Arabidopsis thaliana: one gene and its partner. The protein of the gene in region 1 interacts with the protein of each later gene in a pairwise test. Each region holds a gene or a part of one and is shown on either strand. Other genes may lie near its edges.

Region 1 (3,763 bases):
TGAAAGCTTTACATGTGCGTCATGGAGGCTTAACTTTGTTTTGAGACGTCTACTTCTTTTTTTTTATTCTTATCCCTTTCCAATTTAGTTATATGTAGTATAATCAGATTAATTCACCATATATAAAACCCTTTTTCAAAAAAAAATAAAAAAAATTATAAAAGTATAATAATTATTGAGCTGTTGGTTATACTGTTTTAATTTCATCGAATACTTTCTCTGTTTTGTTTTAAATGATGATCCAGAGAATTTTGTTTATCTTATTTCAAGTGATGTTTTCAAAAGTTTAAATATATTTGATTGTAACCATTTATATAATAGAATATGTTTTTTACTAGTTGAATTAGTTTTATTTTAACAATTTATATATATAAAATAAACAAAATATTTTTTTTATTATTTCTTAATTTATGTGAAAAACTTTAGATATGATTTAATATGAAAAGATAGAATATATTATATACCAATCTTGTAAATTTATTCTAGAACTAAGTCAAAACCACTAACTTTTCTTTTGTGACAACTTTTTTATAAAAAAAATTTAACATCATTAGAACCACTAACTCAATTGTTATTATATTTGGTGAATTGATCTAATTAGTAGAAGGAATATATATGTCTGCACTACTGGAGAGAAAATGCCCCGTCCATTATGTTCTAAGCCTTTTCTAGATAACTTACTGAATCTAAAAATAGCATCTGCTTTTTGTCCCTACAAAGTTATATGGACAAACTAAAGGAATGAAAGAGTTCGATATACCCAAATGGGGATAATATAATTTTTTCATCAACTTTAAAAGTTCAAATATAGAGCTAATTATACGCATTTATAATTAACAAAAACGAGATAGTGCAAAACAAGATGGATCCAATGAAAAGACAAAAGAGAATAATTAATGGATCGAATATAATTCAAAATGGGCACAAAACAAATTTGCACGCAAAAAGTTATTGAATGAGAGTTGCAAAATCTCATATAGTACTTATTTACTACATATGATTAGTTTATCTCGTTGAAAAGTTCGTGTTTTTTCCTATTTTGCACCAAATTCAACAAATCCTTGAGTCAGTCCAATTACAATTGAAAGTAAAGAACCCAAACTTGAACCTATACGACCAGACGGAGACGGGCATGCAAGTGTTTAAGTGTCATTAGATTACAAATGTTTAAGTGTCATTAGATTACACGAAGTATAGATTTAGATATACCAACTAGCTCGGGTTTGCATGACTTATTTTTTCTCACTAAACTCAGTTACATCATCTCTCCGACTCTCTTTTATGAAAATCATTTTGCTAATTAATAAGGTGCGCGGCAGATAACACGCATGATAAAGCCAATGTATCGGTTTCTCATTTACTCATATAACGTATAAAATGGAAAAGCTAATTCATCGGCGCCTCATGAAACGTGTGATAAAGCCAATGTATCGGTTCTCATTTCTACTATATAATAAATAAATAAATATAACAGTAAATATACACATATTGACCGGAAAAAAAAAAGATTGTTACCGCATGAGCAGTTATATTTGTGACGACTTCTTAAACTTAAGTATCCTACTAATTTTGTTCTTTCATTAGTTAATAATATGCTCGGGTTTGTAGTAGTGCTTTGTTCTTCACAAACGCTTATCCTATATAAAAAGAAAGTTTTTTTAGACCAGAAAAGTAAATAAAATTAAGCTAGTTGTGTGTAGGAACATTCAACTTGTTCAAATATTTGAACTATTTTGTAATTTATAATTTTACATAATGTGGAACAAGATTCTAATATTATTTAAATTGAACTTGACAGCACTAAGTTTTTTATTTATTTATTTTTGATAGAAAGACCACTAAGTTAATATAATAGAGCAATAATTCAGGGGTTTTTTCTATTAAAATGACAGAACCCAAACACAGTACTCTTTCTTATAAGTTATAAATATGGGAAGGGTGGTTGCCAAACTCAAAGTACTTTGGGTCTTAACTCTTTCTAACACACAAACTCACATAGAATTCAAGAAAGAGAGAACGAGGGAGAGATGGGTGAGGATATGCGAGGAGTGAAAGTAGTCTCAAAATGGCCACCGATGATAGTTATGGTGACATCACAAGTAGCGATGGGTTCGGTGAATGCACTTGTGAAGAAAGCTCTTGATGTTGGTGTGAACCATATGATCATTGGTGCTTATCGAATGGCTATTTCCTCTTTCATTCTGGTTCCTATCGCCTATTTTTTGGAAAGGTTTATTGATATTTTGATGAAAATAGTTGAGTTATATATTTTTCTTATGCAAAATTTTCAAAAATTTGATTATATCAAAATAGTTTTTTCATATTTACATAATTAACAACATTTACTACAATTGAAGATTGTCAGAATGCTCTATTATAACATGTAAATAAACACCACTACATGTTACTAATATATGAAGTAGATTGATATTTTCTTTCCCCTAAAGTTTATGTCTTATTGTTAACAGGAAAATAATACCGAAAATAACGTTTAGGCTAATGGTCGATCATTTCATCAGTGGTTTGCTCGGGTTTGTCTTCTCACAATTTCTTATGTTCTTTTGTCGTCCATTTTCCATTTTCCTTTTCCATTATACATTGATTGTTTCCACAGAAGAAAGATTTTCTTTCAAGTGAGCATAAAATCTTCATAAGCTAGCTAAATTGTTTTTAATCTTAGCTTAGTTTTGGGTTTAAATTTGCAGGGCGAGTTTGATGCAATTTTTCTATTTGCTTGGTCTGTCCTACACGTCAGCAACTGTTGCGTGTGCTTTGGTAAGCTTGATGCCTGCAATCACCTTTGCTTTCGCTCTTATTTTGAGGTAATTATGGAACCATCTAACTTCTTTATCATTAAAATAAGTACTGTATTTACTATTACTATGCAATGGGTTCATGCAGGATTTATTCGTATTTGTTATGTATACAGTGCATATAATTTCTTTTGTTTTTTCATCAAGCATATTATACTTCTATATATAGAAATACTCAAAAGAACCTTACTCATAAATTATCTCAAATTTATCATCTAAAAGGTTATATTACTTTTCAGAACTGAGAAGATAAAAGATCTAAAGACCCAAGCAGGAATGATAAAAGTGATGGGAACTCTAATATGTATAAGTGGAGCTTTGTTCTTAACATTTTACAAAGGCCCTCATATATCAAACTCTCACTCTCACCTAGAGGCTCTTCCTCACAACAACAGCGATCACAACACCAAGAATTGGCTTCTTGGATGTCTCTACTTAGTCATAGGAATCGTGTTGCTATCTCTATGGATATTGTTTCAAGGGACTTTAAGCATCAAGTATCCTTGCAAATTCTCAAGCACTTGTCTCATGTCAATTTTCGCAGCTTTTCAATGTGCTCTATTGAGTCTTTACAAGAGTAGAGACCTTAAACATTGGATCATCGACGATGGATTTGTGATTGGTGTCATAATATATGCTGTAAGTTATAATACTATATTATCAGAAATCTTAACATTTTTATAAATTATAATGTAGTATATATGTAAATAATTAAATAAATTTTGGGGTTTACCTAATATTACCTTATTACTATACACGTATTATAGGGAGTGATAGGACAAGCAATGTCGACTGTAGCAGCGACATGGGGAATAAACAGATTAGGAGCTGTTTTCGCATCAGCAATTATGCCAGTTTCTCTCATATCGGCTACTCTATTCGATTTCCTTATCTTACACACTCCTTTATACCTCGGAAGGTGCTCTCTTCGATCATCTCTATGAAATTTT
Region 2 (3,763 bases), on another chromosome or scaffold:
GCATATTTTTATTAATTTGTATATATAGTTTTGTGTATGTTTCTTATCAACTTAAAAAAGAGGAAAAGTAAAATCATATATATATATATATATATATATTATATAATTGAATTATACTATAAGGAGAAGGCAAATTTTAATTGTGTCTAAGTTACTATATATATATATATAATTATGTACATATAATTAATTTTGTATTAAATTAAATATTTGCTACCCTTTATGGAGCTTATATACCAAATTTTGTATTAAATAAAAAATAAATAAATAGTCTTTAACCTTTATAAGGTACTGAAAACCTTTAATTCGTATAAATTAATATATATGTTTTGTTTCACAATAACTAAAAAAATAAGTAAAAGTAGAAACAACAGATATGTAAGCTCTATAAGTAGTAGGAAAAATGTAATTAAGGATCCAAAATAATAATATTTATATTTTATTTGCAACCGAAAATTTTATAGACAACTCGCATTGAAAATGTTCTCAACTTGTTTTTATAGGAGGCAATACTTCTTGCGGTAGGGTTCAATTATATTGGTGCTCAATCAGGGAATTGTCCGATGCCATTTTCCAGTGGAATTTGATAGAAAATTTAAAATTAAGCATCAAAAAGTTGTCTGATGGCATTCATCGGAGTTGTCTTGAATCACCATTTTTCCGTTTCATCTCCTAACGTCTGTTTTTCACTTAAAAAGTCTCCAATTCCAGTATAACTTCGTAAAACTTGTACAAAACAACCGAAAAATACATTAAAAACGAACAAAAATGTGACAAACAACTCAAAACAAACACTAGACAAAGGACATAAGACACTAAAAACACAATATACCACATACAATTTTGGAGACACCCGCACACCGCTCTTCACCTCTTGGACTGTCAGTAACATTATGACATGACTATAGACATTACATTCACTTTCATGAAATTTACAACTACTCTTTGGATTTGGGTTGCAGAAAGATGCATACAGTAAAACAGCTCCATCAACCTCTTATGCTCATGTTTCATGCACATAAGTACTCAATTAGCCATAGGTGGAAGCTTAGACCCTGTTTCGACTTTCGAGTAGCTCGGATATATATGCATTATATCACATATCCCTTAGCACCATATTTTCTAATTTAATTTACAATATCACTCATTGCCACAAGTGTATAAAAACCATAGCAATAGAAGGGTATCAAAGTTCAAGTAACCAATTAAATTAGAACACTAGAAATACATTCTATCATCCAATCTAAGCAATCAAGTTAAATCATTAGAACAATATTGAACTACCGCCGAAGTAAGATCTCGTCTACCGGAGATATTGTCAGATTCTTGCCTCCGTTTTGTATTTGTTGTTTTGATTTGTAAAACTTTGGCTCAAGTCCAATTCAGGTATTATAATATTTTTAAAAAAAGAATATTGAACTATTAATAAAATCTTAACATTTTCTGTTGGTCCCTAGTACTTTTGATGGGCTCTCTATATCTTCGCTTTTGTATGTTTGAAGCATTAAGGCCGAATTCATTTAAAACTCAACTTCTATACCAAAAATTTTATTTTAAATTTTATGTAATTAAAATAAACTAACCAATTTTTTAAAAATTACTATTTTAATCACATATAAAATTAAGTTTTAATTTATCTTTCTATACAAAAATATCATCATTAATGAAATTAACTAATTTATTATATTTTTTTAATCATTTTTTCACTTATAAATTTTATCTAAAACTGAATCGATTAATTTCTTATATCTCTAAAGATATCCGTATGGTAACAAAATTGACTCCAAACATTTCTTAAGTCGATTTCTAAAACCGCTCCAAAAGACCATTGTGCATTAAAAATACTAAAAATCTAAAATTTAAAATATTCTCAATAACAAACATTTACGAACCACTGAATTTTATTTTATTTTAAAAATAATCTATAACATAATAATTGTTTTATCTGTTTTCTAACACAAATTATTCTAAATACATGATTGAAATACATTTCTAAATTGGCGTTTTATAGACTATAGTATTTTGACAACTTTGTTTTCAATATTGGCGTTTCATTATTTTGGTGAAAGATTCCCAACTTATAAAAAAAAAAAACGAATTTTTAATTTTCGTCCTAATCATTTATTTCCTAACCAAAGAAAAAGGCAAATCGCGACCCGTCTCTCTCTCTCTCTCTCTCCTTGAAATCGAAAGATCAAAAAAGCGACACTGAAAATGGAAAATCGGTCAGAAATGGGTAACCGGAGGCAGCAGAATCTCTTCGTCATAGCTTCTCCCGACGAGATTGCTAAGATCCATCGAGCCGAAACTTCCAAACAAGGTCTCTTCTTCTTTCTCCGTCTCTCTCTCTCTTTTTTCCCCTAAAAAAAATCTTTTAAATTGATGACTTTGGATTATGTTACAGCCGGAGCTATTGCCGGAGCTAAGGCCGCCGCCGTTGCCGCCGTCGCCAGTGCGATTCCCACAGTAATCATATAATCTCACTTATCTAAATTTTTTAAATTGAGATCTTAAATGAATTAAATGTAAGAGTTATGTTTCTTTGTTGTTGAATTTTAAGACAAAAGTGACTCACCAATCTCATGTTCTGTAATAATCAAGAGTTTCAATTTTGTTACCTATTCATTTTGTGATTTCTGAATACACCAAGTAGAGTCACATTCTTTTTGATGTGTATATAAGATATGAATTTGGTACATAAGCATGCCTTGTTTTCGTAACAGGTAGCTGCCGTTCGTATGTTCCCGTGGGCTAAGGCAAACCTCAACTACACTGCTCAAGCACTCATTATTTCTTCAGGTTAGCTCTATCAGCAATATGCCTTAAATCATTACTATATGTTCTTCCTGGAACTAAGTAGAAAAAAGATACTAGCTTTAACATTGTTGTAGAAACCTCGAACTTCCCTTTTGAACCTAGTTGAGTTTGGGGTTTTTAAGTATTCGTACATTCATTTCTCCACAATTTTCTTCTGATTTCTATCTTGTGATTATGGTGATCATTGGAACAGCTTCTATCGCTGCGTTCTTCATAACCGCGGATAAAACGATTCTACAAGGCGCAAGAAGAAACACCGAGGCTCAGTTAAAGAAAGTTCAGCAAGACTCTAAATAATTTCTCTTCTTATTGTAACACAAATCAATCATCATCTTTCTCTGTTTTGTATGCATATTTTGCCTTGATTCTTAATAAGAGTGTTATTATTATAAGGAATAACAAATTCTTTAAGACCATTTTTTATTCAGACTTTCAGATTTTGTTCTCAAATAAGTTACAAGCTGGTAGTTATACTCTTAACTAAAACTTTGCTTACACAAAAACTAAATGGTTTCTAATACATTTGTACATTTCACAAAAAAAACAACATCAAGTGTTGTGATTATTTGATTATACAAAACCTAAATCTTCATCTTCTACCCTTTTACTTGTCCTTCGACCCGATAAACTAACTAGTAGAGGTGCCTCATATGCCTCTGTTGCAGTCTTCTTCGTCGCCTCAAGTCCTTGTTGGCGCAGAACATACAAGACCTCTTTCATGGAAGGTCTATGACTAGGCAATGTGTTAGTACACATGAGACCTAGCTTGAAAACTGTTGTCATCGCCTCAGTCGTGGAAGCTTCTTTGATGTCCTCATCAAACGCCTCTGCGGTCGGTTTTCCAGATTGGTAATGTTTCCATGACCAATCTGCTAAGTTTGTGTGTTCATCTCCGTTGTTTCCTTCTCTTCCAGTCACCAGCTCTAGCAAAACTACCCCGAAGCTG

Evidence for each region. The genes of interacting proteins can lie anywhere in the genome.
Region 2: the proteins of UMAMIT27 (region 1) and AT5G25940 interact in a protein complementation assay, tested with the Arabidopsis thaliana proteins (one large-scale study listed by BioGRID).

The regions. Positions count from the first base shown.
Region 1 is NC_003070.9:3,851,290-3,855,052, forward strand, and holds the start of UMAMIT27 (nodulin MtN21 /EamA-like transporter family protein), read left to right. Parts: upstream 1-1,894; 5' UTR 1,895-2,027; coding exon 2,028-2,230; intron 2,231-2,468; coding exon 2,469-2,531; exon of another isoform or gene 2,532-2,705; coding exon 2,706-2,822; intron 2,823-3,052; coding exon 3,053-3,452; intron 3,453-3,580; coding exon 3,581-3,732; coding exon of another isoform or gene 3,733-3,757; exon of another isoform or gene 3,758-3,763.
Region 2 is NC_003076.8:9,053,603-9,057,365, reverse strand, and holds AT5G25940 (early nodulin-like protein), read left to right. Parts: upstream 1-2,110; 5' UTR 2,111-2,214; coding exon 2,215-2,320; intron 2,321-2,404; coding exon 2,405-2,466; intron 2,467-2,723; coding exon 2,724-2,799; exon of another isoform or gene 2,800-3,010; coding exon 3,011-3,114; 3' UTR 3,115-3,244; downstream 3,245-3,763. Other genes in the region: AT5G25930 (kinase family with leucine-rich repeat domain-containing protein), read right to left, coding at 3,388-3,763.